Drosophila melanogaster: one gene and its partner. The protein of the gene in region 2 interacts with the protein of the main gene of each other region in a pairwise test. Each region holds a gene or a part of one and is shown on either strand. Other genes may lie near its edges.

Region 1 (8,844 bases), on a different chromosome or scaffold from region 2:
CAAGCAAATCCTTTGGGTTGACACTAACGGTCGCGTCAATAAATTCGCCGTGCAAATTTCATTAATTGCTCCGGGTGGGTGGAAGGTGGCGGACCGGAGGAAGTGGCGCGGGCAGGTGCCACAGCGCCTGCAGATGCCACCGCTGCTCAGAGAGCTCGGTTCGCATGCAGTGCGGGGCTTGCCATAAAAAATATTGGCCACCTTAATGTAAGTGGCTTATAAATTTGTGCACAAGCCCAGACCATTTATGGCCAACGGGCAGGGACCCATGGGGCACTTGTACCTAACTGTTTATGTGGTTAGATGCCAGCCCGGTTGGGTGTGCCTGGGTGTTTCTGTGCGACTCGTTGCTCTTTTGGCCGCATTCAAATATGGAATGCAGCTTCCAGCCGGACTTGAAATTCCATAGATGAGCCTCAAAGGTCAAAGGCACGCAAGCCAGGAGATGCAGAAAATTGATTGATTCAAGCCGTGTCGCTTCCTAAGATGCTAGTCGAGATCCTCAACTTCCAGACACCAGCTACAGCAAGATCGAAAGTTGACTGAAATAATATGTAAGGCCTTTGCCATTTGTTGTAGACGGCCAAAATCCTTTTGGAATAAACATAGAAACTTTCAATAATAATAATAAAAACCAAAATTATTAAATTAATATTAATATATTCAAAAGTGTGGGAGCAGCTTTGTGGGATAGTGGACGTGCTCACTCTTAGTTAAGGGAATGTGTTCTTTTTATCATTCGTTCTCATAAACTTTCTCTAACTCTTACGTAAGCTCGCAGACTTACGAAATCTTAAAAATAAGCGAAAATAATACTTGCTGCAAATTGTTTCATGATTAAAAAGTCCGAAAAACTAATATCCAGTGTTGGGTTGTAGTCACAAATAATATTTATTATTCATTTCATTTTTTCACTTGCGTATTTTGATTTGCATTTCAGTTGTACACTTCAGATTTTGCACTTTTGTTGGAAAAGACAAATGGCAACTAAATGCATTAAGCTTATTAATTTTACAAGCATGGCCACAATGAGTTGTATTGTACTTGAGCTGTTATAGATTCACTCCGGGACAATCTGTTGCTCTGGCAAGACTAAGCATACAAAAATATTTCAGGTTTCAATCGTGTTATGCCTATTATTTTATAAATTATTGCATCGAAATTCGTTCTTAAACTAATTTCCTTTAATAGGGAAATTATTATGACAACACTAACTCATACATTCTTCAAATTATACTTTTTGGTAGCAGCAAAATTGGGATTAAGGGTAGTAATTCATTAAAATGACCTGTACTACAAAGTATATATCTTTGGGATAAATTATTTGGTTGGGTTTCGTTCTGCAACTTTGGGTTACTAAACACTAAACTAAATGGCAAGAACTAGTTCTACAAATCCTTCTTCTATGGCACACTCGCATTTGGCGTTGGCTATCAACTCCTGGATTCTACTTCTGTTTCATATACATGGTAGCAATTTTCTCAAGAATCGTGTCTATAGACAACAATTCGTCGCTGAATTTCTGCATAGTGGGGGCTGGCACAATCCACTTAAGAAATTCCTCCACATTTAGCCGGAGTCTGGCCAATGGGGTCATCGTGGCGTCGTCATGGGATTGTCGCTGAGCCAGCTTCAAGGATGCAATGATAACGTTATCGATTAGACGCTTCTCGTAGCCCAACTGGCGCAGCTTTTGAGCGGAGCTAATTTTCTTCAGTACCACTGCCATGTTAAATCTTAAGACAGAGAGAATTTGCGCATCTTCAGACTGATTGCCACTGGGTTTGTCCCCGTCAACTGGACACTTGGCGCAGTGCTCAACATGCGACTGCAGCTCCACCTTGATCTTAAAGAAATCGTGGCAGCCTTCGCACATGTAGGGCTTTTGCTGTTTGTGTATCTTCTTCATGTGGTTCTTTAGGTGCGCCAGCTGAGAAAAGGCTACTTCGTCTTCGCACAGCTGGCAGCGAAAGGGTTTTTCCCCCGTATGCTTTCGGATGTGCAGTTTTAGTACGCTTGAATGGGCAAAGGTCTGGTGGCAGATCTGATGGAAGTAGAAACATAATTTACGGCTGCATGCAAGCTAACACCCTTTCAACTTACCCTACACTGATAGGGGCGCTCTCCCGTGTGCATTCGCATATGGACATTGTACTGGCTTTTCTGGGTGAAATATGTGTTGCACACCTCGCAGACGTGGGTCTTAACAGCGGTGTGCCTCTGCATGTGAGTGGCCAAATCCTCGTCCGGCTCGATCATCTTATGGCATATCTCGCACTCAAATTGCGTCAGCTTGTGGTGCTCCTGGTTTATGTGCGCTCGCAGGGCCAGCTCGTTGGCGAATTGGTTCTCACAGATGCTGCACCGGTGCTCCATGCCCTGCTCGTGTCGCTCCATGTGCACCCGTAAATTGGCGTTGGTTGAGAAGCTGGCCGAGCACTTAGTGCAGTTGAACTGCTGGATACTCGTCTTGTGGTGAGAAACCATGTGCTGTTGCAGCTGCAATATAAATGATAATATATATTAGGAACACCAATGGTTAAGACCTATAAAAACAAAAGCCTAATAGAAAGTTCATTATTAAATACACTTATTTATATTTAATTATTATAATAAATATTATTATTTAAGTTTATAATAAATCAAATTATGAGAAAAATATAAAATTAATTGTTAAATCTCAGTTAAAAATGGAATGTCGTATTACTCACTTGACCTCCTCGGGCGAATTTTTTGTCGCAGAGGTCGCAAGGATAGGGCTTCTCGCCAGAGTGGAGGCGCATGTGGAGCCGCAGGCGCTCCTTGAGGGCGAATGATTTTGGGCACTGGGAACAAACGAACTGTTTCCGATGCTCGTGGGCGGTGGTGATATGATTTTTCAGGTTGACCGCCTGGCGGTAGCTCTTGCCACAATCCTTGCACTTGTGCGGTCGTTCGTCCGAGTGGATAAGCATGTGGCGCTGCAGATCCGTCTTGCCACCGAACTCTTTGGAGCATTGACTGCAGACATGGTGCTTGCGTTTCACCGGTTCGCCCTTTCGGGCAGACTTCTTAAGCTGCGGTTGCACGTAATCATCATCCTTTGAGTCCTGCTCTCCGCCGTCGTCCTCCTCCTCGTCCACACAAGCATCGCGCAGACTTGCCAAGCTGCTCTTCCTCCTTTTGATCGCAAGCGTAGGGCCTGGTGAGGATTCCCTCGCCGCCGGCGGCGAAGACAGCGATATGCCGCTGTCTGTGAGCAGAGAGACGGCATCCTCCTTGGACACACTACGACGGCTGCGTACCATTTGTTTGGTTTTTATTATTTGGATTCGTAACTAAATTTCTGGGGACCGCTTCCTGGGAAACACCGGCACCTGCTGCGTTTGTCTTTACTTCTAGGGTTAATGTTCTACGTATGTAATTTAGGGTATTCGTATTTTTTGGTTCGATTGCTACTTCTAGGATAGTTCCCATTCACCTTTGGTTTGGATTAGTTCAGATGGGCTGCAAAAAAAGTTAAGAGCTGTTTTAATTCTCCACTCGCCGAGCGCCACGTTCCGAAGCAGACGGAGAATCAAAAACACAGACAGAAATAGTAACCGCAAGTGAAGCCGAAACAGAAACAAGAAGAGAAACAGCAACGGAACAGAAACTCCAGCTGTGTCAACAGTGATAAGACCTATGCACAGGAAAAATATTACCAAAATTGGTGGATTTGCATATTTAGGGGCTTCGAAAAGCATGGCACTTTTTACGTTAATGCAATAGTTCTTACTATTTTTGCAGTGTTGTCGAAATCACTTGAGATTTTTAGACGTTGTTTATCATAATTAATTAATTAATTGCAATTCATTGGCTATCCAATTAGAAAATATATTCGTTTCTTTACAAATCTAGTTAACAACGGAAGGTTGTGGACTGTTTTTCACGGTGTACAGAGCTAGGAGCCCAAGTCTTGAAGTGGGTCGCATTATCAATTGACATTTCCAGCGAACGTAAGCTTCCAAAAAAAATTCTTAGTTTGTTGTCTTAATCTTTTGTTTGGGCGGGAGCGAGATGGAGAAACCGCCTGATAAGATCCCGAGGAAGGCAACAACTGATAAGCAATCCACCGCTTTCACTAAAATCACGGTAGAGCTATAAAAAGATATCGAGATAAAGCTGTGCAACCTGAGCGTTTTCGATCCCGCGGCGTCTGTTCTCCGAGGCGGCGGAGTTTCCAATGAAAAGCGAGAACACTGAAAATGCAACTGCAAGAGAGCGATTACGATGACCCTGGGCTGGGACGAACATCTGGCAAGCAGATTGGGAACCCTCCGATTCCGATTCCAGTGCCAAGCAACCCCCTCCCCCTGCGGAGGGTTAATGGTTCATTAGAGCCGCACCCGCAGAAGCTGAAAACTAACTCACTTTAGCAGCACAACGGCCCTCGACCAAACTGTTGAAAAAGCGAATTTAAGCTAGAATCCGCAGCTGGGAATCGAAATTGAAAGAGAACAGGGCAAAAAGCACGAACGACAGCGAAAATCACACACAAAAAGCGAAAATAAAGAAGTGAATACATAACAGCAGTTTTGTAATGCTAAATAGGCGGGGTTATGGGGGTGGGTAAGGGTTAAGGCGGCGGCGGTCGCTGGATGAGGGTAGGGGCCGTTGAAGTCTTTCGTATTCGGGGCACAAAACTCGACGACTGTGTAGTTTTCGGGGTCTTGCAACCGATTGTTAGTAATTAATGAACCAGCACCACAGCACTCATATACGTAAAGCAATCCATTATACACATATGCTACACATTTGGCCCAGGGGCTCCACATTCAACACCAACACCAAAGCCCCACCGGGCGTGGACTTACCTTCGCAAAAAGCAGGAGTCGCTAGGCTAAGGGCCTTCGATCCACAGGAAACTTAGCATCACCCCGAATGGGACACACCTGGACTTCCTATGCATTCCGCGTCCGACTATGAGTTCGCTTCTTATTTGTTTTTAATTTCGACACCACGAGCTGTGTGTACATACTTTTTGCAATCCGCTAGGTGGCAGTCCGACTGGCTCCTCAAGGTGTATCCATCGTGCTGCCTGCGGCTTAACCTTTGTGGGACTTTGCGGGTTTGCCGATTCTAAGCCAATACTGCGTTTTGTCCAGCAAAATAAATAACAGTTTTCGGTGGTTTTTCGATGTTGTTCTTAATGTTAGTGATGTGTATTCACCGATAGACGGTCACACTGGGACTCTCTGTCTGCGCGGCCACAGATGGGAGCGTGATGCACAGTCACTAGTTAGAGAAAATCCAATAACGTGTAGGTTGCGGCGCAATAAGTTATAAATAAGTTAAAAATCACATTGCGCAGTATCACTGCAATATTTATTGAAATTTCAGTAAGAACAAAGTGAGGCACACTTTGTTGAACGTGACTTCTTTTACACACTGAAATCACAGCCTGCTGAACGTGACCACTTTGCTCACTGAAATCGCAGACGTGTGGCAACACTCAAGCCGCCAGAAAGATCTGGCATCTCTCATACTTAACACGCGCATGCAAAATATTTAAGAAATAAATATTAGTCGCTAACAGTTTAAATATAATAAAATTCTGCTGATATAAACCCAGTTCATAAAAGAACACGCATTTACCTCCGCATATAAGATCAAATACGTATAAAATCTAATTAGCCGACTCAAGGTAAGGCGTGCGTTTTTGGAGCTCCACTAAACTGACTTCAAAGCAATAACTCATCAAATACTACATTTCAGTTAAAATGGCTGGAGTACTCTTTGAGGACATCTTCAACGTAAAGGACATGGATCCGGAGGGCAAAAAGTTCGACCGTGTATCCCGCCTGCACTGCGAGTCCGAGTCGTTTAAGATGGACCTCATCCTGGACATCAACTCGTGGCTATACCCCATGGAGCTGGGCGACAAGTTCCGCCTGGTTTTGGCCACCACCCTGCGCGAGGATGGTTGCCCGGACAGCGGGGAGTACAATCCAATGGAGCACGAGGGAACGCGGGCGGACAGCTTTGAGTACGTGATGTACGGCAAGATCTACAGGATCGAGGGCGACGAAGCACACAATGAGGCCTCCCGGCTCTCCGCCTACGTGTCATTCGGCGGCTTGCTGATGCGACTTCAGGGTGACGCCAACAATCTTCATGGCTTCGAGGTGGACCAGCACATGTACCTGCTGATGAAGCGGCTGGCCTTCTGAATTTTCTACCTAATTATTTTCGATCGCAAATTAGACATAGACAACAAACTTTATTTACAGTGTATTCATGACATTGCTTGGAGTGCTGAAAGAAGTAGTCTATTGCCTGGATGGGCGTCTGAAAGGCGCATTGACTATCAGGCGAGATGGCCGTGGGCGAAAAGGAATGTGGCGATCCACGAAGGGCAAAGCCTGCGGAGTCGATGGGAACACTGGAGTAGGCCTAATAGCATTCACAATCTTGACCGCATCTGGCCGACGACGAACCGTAAGCTTAGCCGGCCGTCGCTGCGGAGTCCGCAGAACCGGACGCTGCGGGCGGAAGGCAGAAAGTCGGTTCAGAAGCGGCAGAACATACTGAGCCTGGGGTGGTAGCGGCAGACTTGCCAAATTAATTATAGCTGCGCTTTGTGGCAATGTGTTGGAGCTGTCATCATTGGCTGGCTGGTCTGGAGGTCCGTAGGTCTGATCGGGAGGTCCATAAATTTGGTCCGGTGGGCCGTAGACCTCAGCTGGCGCTTCCACCAAAGACGGTGGTCCGTATGTTTCAGGTGGAGGGCCATATGTATCCTCCGGTTGAGGAAATTCAACCGCCTCCTCCGTTGGCAGGTCGAATGGCGGATCGGGGACCAGGCCTGCTGGTGGATATGGGGCTTGTTCCTGTCTTTGCAGAAACCTTCCCGCCGCGGGTCCTGGGAACCTCAGATGACTGCCTTCAATTCCATTCAGGCAAAGAATGGAACAAAGCGCAAAGGTGACCAGAGAAGCACTTGGATAACCGGACATTGTGGTGTGCTGACATGAACTGCTGCATGGGCGGCTAAGTGGCGCCTATAAATACCCCCTAGGAATGCCCTTGGGAACTGCCCAATTCAAACGCCCGAAGAAACCTCGAGGCCGATGACTTATAAGCCAGGTCCAACGATACGTGCCCATGGAGGTGGTGACTAAGGCGCGTGTAAGTACTGGCTGTTATGAAAATGTGTGGTTAGATTTCTTTAAAAGGGAGTGCTTATACAAAATAATTGTATATTATTTTTACACAGGAATAAAAAAAATAATAAATATAACGCTTTCCTATTAGTTTCAGTATGGATTTCATTTTAAATTGAATTTTGTAAGTAATATTTTGTAAATATATTTTCTGTGTACGGTGAGTGCATGATATCGTTAGAATAGATTCCAGCCCTGTATCAAAGACACTAGAATAATTATTCTAGAGTCTTTGCCTGTATGATATTTCCTTAAGTCTGACGCAGTGACGTATTTGCTTACGCTAAAGTTTTAAAGTCTACCAACTGCGACGCAGGATTAGACGCTGAGGAACGGGCCTCTGGGAACGCCGTCCTTGCGGAAATCGCTGGTAGAGTCGGGCGGACTGGACGGACTGTGGCTGGTCAAGACTGCTAGCTACAACGATCACAGTGCCATCCTCAGCAACATCCAGCTGCGGTTCATCCTCCTCGGCGTCCTCATCAGCGGGCTGCAGCTTGGCACCGTCAACCGATGCTTCCTCAGTCTCTGGAATATCATCAGTCTCGATGGGATTCTCTGGTAGCGGCTCAGCCTCGGGAGCAATAGCCGGCACGGAGTCGGTCTCTGGAGGTCCATAAGTGTTATCTGGTGGCCCGTATGTGTTGTCCGGAGGTCCATAGGTGTTATCAGGCGGCAGATAAGTGTTCTCCGGCTTGACAGTCGAACTGGGTAAATCGAAGGGAACACTCGGGGTGATGCCCGCCTCCGGATATCCGGTGGGCGAAGGACTGGGTATAGCCTCCACTTGGCGCGCCAAGAACCTCCGGCGGATCGGCTCCGCGGAGCTCAGCGCCAACAGGCTCAGGACAAGAATAGCAATTGGTGCGCCAGTCGGTTTAAACATTTTCGCGGTTGAAGGGCTTCTGTTCTGATTTCTCGATCCGACACGACGTATTTATAGCCCCAAGCTACCAGATCGAATTCTGCTATAATTTATGCTCGTCACTTTCAGTTTCAGGCTCTTATTCCCGGTAAAACTTTGATTATGTTGCGCTGATCGGCGGCAATGTAGCTTCAGCTTAATACCCGATACGTGACCCTTTTTCGAAATTGATTTTCCAATGCTATGATTTGGAATAGGCCACCCTTTCCCTCCTTCGCAAATCATTCATTAACACTTGGAGTGAGCTGTGAACACTCGAGTTTGTTTGGTTTTGGGTTCTTGGCAGTTCATAATTTTATTTGATGAACTTTGTATTCATGCAAAACAGAATAGGCTGTGAAAAAATCCATCAAGCACGCACTTTTAAAAGCACGTCCCACCCATTTGCAACATTTGGACAGTTTCAATCAGGGTCGATCGAATTCAAAAACAATGTTATTTACTATTAGCTTGGCTTTTGGAACACTCATTTGCCTTACCAAAAATTATTATATTCTGAGCTTTGAGTTTTTATCATGGTAAGTGAAAATCGGGTTAAAAAATATAGTATTCATACTCCTTACTCGTAGAGTAAGATGTGTTGAAAATTATGTAACAGGAAACTTTTCCGACCATATAAAGTATATACATATATGATCAGGATCAATAGCCGAGTCGATCTGGCCATGCCCGTCTGTCCGTATGAACGTCTCGATCTCGGGAACTATAAAAGCTAGAGGGTTGAGATTAAGCTTA
Region 2 (7,016 bases):
AATGACAGGGCAACAAATTGTCAACAATTATGCAAACATTTTTGCCATCATCTTCAACGCCCTCTTTTCTTTTCATTTTCATTTGACTTTCGGGTTGGCCTGCGCTGAGTAATTTCCATGCAGTTTGTTTAAGTTTCTCACAATTTTAATGTACAAATTTGTTAATTTACCATAAAACTTAGCGTATTTGTATGTTGACTGCGCCCCCCATTGGCAGATATTAATGTGCGGCCATAGTTTGATTAAAAACTGGCATAGCGCCAAACGTGCAGACATTCAAATGCATCTCAGACCCTGGCAATCCATCCATCTCATCCATATCCATTCATTTGGAGCCCGTGTATTTATAAACCTCGGCGACTTAAGTAAAAGATTTCCTTTTGAACTGTTTCCAACACGAAATGCGAACGCTAAGTTGGCCCATAAATTTCCTTATCGCCGCCAATAAAGTGTAGTACTTGCGATATACAAAAGTGCCACCTTGTCTATATCAGTCAAATTTCTACGTAATGAAATACATAGCCGCAATCATTGAAGTCTTAAGATAGAGCTTTTCGGTGCAAATGACTCACGGAAAGATGTGGGTAACGTGGGTGCAAACCATCCATTTGGACAGTGAGTCAGGATTGATCGGATTCCCTACCATTCAGTTTTTAAACTATTATCAGGTACAGATATGCTACCGAAAACTTTTGTTATCTTTGAATAGCTTTACAGCTACACTATTAGATATTTTCTACGAATGGAAAGCAGTTTATAAATGATATTGCAAATTATTGAGAAGAGATAATTGGTGTGATTTTTATGGTCTAACCACCACTGATAATCTTTATCACACGTCCCCGTTTCAAAAAGTAACTTTTTCAGTTTCCGAGAAAGATTGATTAAATAATTCCGAAAATAAACATCAACATTATTTGCATCTTATTAAAAATGTAAATACATATCTGGCAAGTAGTTCTTGCATTTTTTCGGTGATATTTCCGAAATGGATTATGAGATCTTACGACTGACCGCACAACTCGCAGAGAAGTGGCAATATTTTTAAAGTGGGTTTAGTATATTAAAAGCATATTTCATGGTAAAAACTCATGCAACTTATGGCTAACAAATCGCATAATGCCGCATATCCGTTACACGCTCACAGATCGGAGGAGAACATCTAAGGGGAACGCGCCAAAAAGCGGCTTAAAATCTTTACGCAACCGAAGAATCGGAATGCCCAAGTGATAAGTGGCATTTCATTCAGATACAACGCATGATATATGCTCAAAAAAAAAAAAATAAAATAAAATACACCGAAATACCATAAAGACCTGCAAACAAGTACACAGAAAGAAGTCGGGCATGTCTAAAAATATATTTCGAACATGCTTGTTAAATTGAGAATTTATTTCCAAAGAAATTTTTCAATATTCGGTATTATATTGTCATATAAATAGACTTTATTGCTTTTAACCCAGTTGTGCTATTTTTGTGTAATTTTTCCCAGTGTATCCGCTTGCTGACTGCGGCATATCGAGCGCAGGCTGTCACTAAACGCTTGAAAAAAATGATAAATCGCTTTATAAAAGTGCAGTGTGAGTTCATCTGCTCTCGTTCAGTTTAGTTCACTTCACTCGGCTTTGAATGCTATTCTGTTGTTTTATCACTCCGTACTTTGTTGTCCGCTAAATATAAACAGACGTACATACATATAAGCCATACGGGATGCCCTGTATTTGTCGATCCTTGCAGACGAAGTGACGGCACTTTGGATGCACCAGATGCGGATTTGGGGGGGGGGGGGGGGCAGCAAGGAAACCCACCCAGAAGTGGCAATTATAATTTGCTTAGCATCGGCGTTATAGCGAATTTTTCTAATGAAATCCCGACCGAATCTCCGGATGCCTTGTCTGTCGTCTGCGTATGCGCAAAATTAATTTAATTGCCTCTAAAGTGCACTGCACACAATGCCCCACAATGTTGGGGCAGACAATGGGTGTGGTGCGGTGGTTCAATGCGTTTTAATTGGCCTGTGGAATCTCTTTACTGGCATAAATTTTGGCTTAATCTCATCATTAGACTGCATTCTGTATGGCACTCGTTGGCCAAGTTGACAGGACCGGAGCAAATTTGACGTTGTCATTTCGACGGCGACACTTTTCTGTAATTTATTGTTTCCCCAATTTCGCTTGAGGCCAACTAAAAAAAAAATATATGATTTTTCCATTTGTATTTATTTATGTTTTTCCTTGCAGAGCTCCTATGCTGGCGCTTATCTAGAAGATAAACTTAGTTTTTACAACAAACATATGGAGAAATATGGTCAGTTTACAGGTAAAAGTAAAAAAAAAAAAGTATTTGATGTATTTATCTAAAATATTTTTGTATAGACTTTGATGGCAATGCCAATGGCTCCAGTTTGGACTGTCTAAATCTGATTGTTCAGAGCATCAATAAGAGCACCACGAGTCCCATTCAAAATAAGGCCACGCCCTCCGCTTCAGATACCCAATCGCCGCCCTCATCCGGAGCAACTGCACCCACTTCTCTGCACGTGAACTTCAAACGGAAGTGCAGCACTTAGCACTTAAGTATCAGCACCTTAGGCAATTGTAAAGCTATTTTTAAGAGGATACACGAGATACCCAGTGACCCGAATAGGCCTTAAATTATTTGTATAGCATTAGAACTTAATTAAATGGTAATTCAAAACAGCAACTAGAGTCGTCTTACTTAATCTAGCTCCAATTTGCGGAAGGAACCGCTCATCCCGTCCAGTTCTCCATTGGCCCAGGCACTGGCCAATCCGACGCGCAGTTTCTCATTAGTACCATACTGGGCATCCTTGGCCAGATAATCCTTGCTGTCCAGCAGCTTCTGGCGCCAATGATCCACTGCCTCTGCCTGATAGCCATTGGTGCCACCATACTCGATGGTCATCACATCTCTGGGCAGGTGCTGGTACAGATCCTCCGACTTTTTGTGGACCACGAACTGTGTAGAATATTGTAGAGATTAATTACCAATCCTAACGCAATTCAAGCTTTTTGATGATAGATTCACCTTGAAAGGCAGTTTGGAGGGCAAAAACTTCGTTACAAAATTGAATATGGTTTGTCCCTCCTTGCGCATATTGATCATATGAATCTCAACAAATCGCAGTGGTATGCATTGGTCCACCAGAGCAAATGCCTTCTTCAGCAGGAAGGGATCGTACTGCATCATCTGCTCCATGGTAACATCTCTGGCATCCACAACCCAGATCAAGCCGGAAATCGCGGCATTATCGCACTCCAAAGCCAATAGTTCCAACATTATGAAGATCAGTTTGAAGGCTTCGCGGGGATTCGATTTCTTGGGATCGATGTTTCGGAACTGCGAGATGATAACCCTTGGCCCCTCGGGACTCACAGGTCGCATGGGTATCACATGGATTCTGTTAATTCGAAATAGAAATTAAATAAAGTATCTTTACCTTCTTAACATAGGTCTTTCGTAACACGCAACTAATTTCCAGTCAGAAATTCACATAGATAGTGAATAAATTATTATTGATAATGTTTGTTACGTTTAACACCACTGATTAGAAAGCTGTATTCTGTATGGTTTTGTGAAATATTTAGCAGCCTAAGGCAAAAAGGGTATATAGCAAATGGAACATTCAACCCACCCGCGTTGCAACTGGGTGAGCAGGGCCTCGTCCACCTGTCGGGATCCCAGAACCTCCGGGAACACGCTGCGCAGGGAGTAGTAGTTGTCGAATCGCCGTTTGGTCTCCTCCTGGCTGAAACGGCAACGCCGCAGAAAGGCCAGGATAAGCTGCTCATCCGTGGGCGCCTTAAGGTGCGGCGACTTGGTGATCCATGTCTTAATGGTGGCAATAATCTCCGCTCGCTGCGCCTGCTCCTCGTTGCACTCACTTTTGGCCAGAGCCGCCAACTTTGGGTCGAGAGTTCTCAGGGTGTTCGCCATTCCGGCGCTCGGTTCATTAGTAACTGAATGCCAAAACCACTGACGCAGCGCCGTGGTAGTGATGGTATTGGCTTTTGCGGCGGCATCGCTTATCTAATCGGGGCAACACCTTGTAAACTAGCTGGAACGGCGAGCCGAAACCCGTCGGCAGTCAGTTAGATATAGATACACGAGTGCATAGATAGTTGATAAGTGGGTGTTATCTTTAATTGATCGACTACAGCAGAGTTTGGAATGTTTATATGGATAAACGCTATTGTGGGAGGGAGGGTCTAGGTTTCCTGCTTCCGTGCTGGTATCAATCCCAATTGAGACGACGGAAGGAGCCATTGGCTCCAAATTCCGCCTCATATGTGGCTATTTCGCCGTGCCGCAGCTCCTCAATGGTCCCGTAGTTGCAGTCCTGCTCGAAATAACCACGATAGCTATTCAACAGGTCCTCCATGTAGGCCACACATTCACCCAAATGTCCATTGGTACCGCCATACTCCTCCGGCAGCGATTCCTTGCCAATGTGCTCGATTAGCTCTTCGCTGTTCTTCAGCACGCGTATCTGAAATAAGATAAACATATCTAGCCTTAATTGGTACTGAATCTCTAATGGTTACTTTATAAAAACAATTTTATCACGAAGGTGATAACTTGCTGATTAAGTTATCAATACCCACCGGATAGTTGACTTGCATGCTAAGCACGTTGTACAGAAACATGACGGTACCCTGAATATCCTTGGGCATATTTATGATATACATCTCCTTCACTTTAAGGGGGCTGCAATTGTAGAGCCAGTTCCACCATTTGCGAAATAGAACCCTATCAAAGCGTCGCATCTTATCCGAGTTGACGCCCTCGAGGTCAATTATTTCGCAGATTCCCGCCAAGCTGGCATAGTCATTCTCCAGCGCAATCACCTCCATGGCCATCGACGAAAAATGATAGATCTCCCGCAGCATGTACAAATTGGGATCGAAATGACCGAAACGGGCTATAAACATGGCACTACGGCTATCACCCTTTGGCATATCCGGATAGAGACAAACTCTAAGAGCAAAACCAGCGTCTTAAGATAAATGACTAACTTCAAATGTTGGAATAACATTAGCTCACCCCATCCGATTGATGTCCAGAAGTCTTTGAGTCACACAGCGGTTATTCATGATCTCCGGAAATAGATTGTAGTGGGTGAAGTAGCGATCGATCCGGCGCTTGGTCTCCTCCAGGCTGTAACGGCAGCGTCTGAGGAAGGCGATCAGGAAGTCCACATCTGTGCGGGCGCGCAGATGCGGCTGCTGGCGAATCCACACGCGCAGGATGATAATATCCTGCTGAATCCTGTCGGGCGTCTCGTTCACCTCCTGCTCGGCCAACTTGGCCAATGTCGGCGAGAGCGGACGTCGCATTTTGGTAACGGCTATGCGGTGTTTGATGGCATTTGGGCCATCTAATTTGCCTATCCGTGCTCCCCCATCTGGTGGTGGGTGGCCCCCTAATCTAATCTTATCGCCGAGGCGAATCGGATTGGGAAAATACGACCGCTGCATGATGGTCTATGCTTATCTATACGCATTTGTAACTTGCACTTTTTTCCAGCTCGGAAAATGGGATTCGGATATGTAAGTATGTTTGGGAGAGAGTGACATGTACTATATATGGGAAAAATAGCGCACATCCGGCGCCTGGAGATCTCTTAAGTGCCCATCTCGTGTGCATTTGGGAAATGGTTGCAGATGCACTGAGAATAAATTAGTGTGGAATGTTATCCAGAAGAAATGAGTATGAACTTATATACTTACATTCAAATACATATTTTATTTTACAAATGTGCGTGCCATCTATTGTGGCATCAATATTTTCACTTCAGCCTTCAATTTGTCCCCATTTTTGTTAGTGTACCAGAGTACCGTCTTTTGAAATGCGATCTGCGTTTAATGCCCGAAATAAATCTAACGCTAAATGGTATCCAGTTCGTCGGTCGTCCGTGCTGTGAGCATTGAGTATTCAATTTGAGTGCCTGCCTGTCAGAGGGCATTACACACCGACATCCCGGGTAGGTGGCGATGTGCCGTTGGAGTTGACATGGAACACCTACAGCCGGGCAAATTGCTATGACATGGCGCTGTCAGCTGCTGACAAGCCGGAGAGCTGGAGATCTGTACAACTGTGGAATTGGCGATCTGGGCTCCCAGGAAGCGGATCATCTACCCACTCCGTCAATAACTCATAACACATTATGGCCATGGGACTGGGACTAGGGAGGATTTGGAGTGAGTACATCCAGTGGAGGCTGTGCTTTGATCTTGCTGCTGACAGGGCAGCGCGTGTAAATTCCCTTTGCAGCCAGCTCATTGCTCATGACGCAAACATATCGTTGCCATATTAATAATGAGCCTCATTAACAGCTCGCTGCACTGCATCATCGCACTCAACACATTGCCCAATGTTGCCACTGCTTTCCTATGTTGAGAAAGGGTGAGGGTGTGGCGGCATGTAATTGACACACTCATTGCTGATAAGTGTATTTTGTTGTAAGCACTTCAGATATGCAACCAAACCCCCGGAATGCATATGCTGCACTTGAGGCAAGTGATGGATGCCCCAAGGAATCGCTGAAAATCTTGACACAAAAGGGTATGGGATTAATAACCCAGTGATTGTCTTACTGACGGCTAAATCAGTCTGCAGAAGGACCTTTGTACTTAAGAACACTGCTTAATTACATACATAAAAAAAAATAATTACTAAATTTTTAATATATATAATAATATAATAAATGTAAAATTCTTCATAGTTTCGTGTTTATTTTAAGCCATTTTGTGTGGTTAAGATAATTGTGCATTCACTCACATACTATTTGCTCACAATTAATTTTAATTATTGAATATTTAAAAATATAATATAAATGCAAAGTTAATAATGCTTTTGAAAATTTTATCAAATCAAAAAAGAAAGTGCATTGCTGCCACAACCAGCAGTCATATGGATTTATAAGCGTTTCATGTTTTAATTTATAGACTTACATAAAACGCCCCATTTTGTGCTCTAAGTGCGAGAGAGAGAGA

The links.
Region 1: the proteins of CG10300 (region 2) and CG11247 interact in a two-hybrid assay, tested with the Drosophila melanogaster proteins (one large-scale study listed by BioGRID).

The regions. Positions count from the first base shown.
Region 1 is NT_037436.4:21,723,452-21,732,295, forward strand, and holds CG11247 (uncharacterized protein), read right to left. Parts: upstream 5,356-8,844; 5' UTR 5,000-5,355; exon of another isoform or gene 4,942-4,999; 5' UTR 4,836-4,941; intron 3,487-4,835; 5' UTR 3,288-3,486; coding exon 2,712-3,287; intron 2,500-2,711; coding exon 2,104-2,499; intron 2,045-2,103; coding exon 1,448-2,044; 3' UTR 875-1,447; downstream 1-874. Other genes in the region: Polr2H (RNA polymerase II, I and III subunit H), read left to right, coding at 5,742-6,191; CG14570 (uncharacterized protein), read right to left, coding at 6,291-6,977; CG14569 (uncharacterized protein), read right to left, coding at 7,483-8,070.
Region 2 is NT_033777.3:23,708,499-23,715,514, reverse strand, and holds CG10300 (uncharacterized protein), read right to left. Parts: upstream 3,989-7,016; 5' UTR 3,958-3,988; coding exon 3,656-3,957; intron 3,422-3,655; coding exon 3,049-3,421; intron 2,980-3,048; coding exon 2,719-2,979; 3' UTR 2,570-2,718; coding exon of another isoform or gene 2,376-2,569; 3' UTR 2,320-2,375; coding exon of another isoform or gene 2,241-2,319; 3' UTR 2,202-2,240; downstream 1-2,201. Other genes in the region: nau (nautilus), read left to right, coding at 2,241-2,319, 2,376-2,569; CG10301 (uncharacterized protein), read right to left, coding at 4,256-4,510, 4,626-4,998, 5,065-5,357.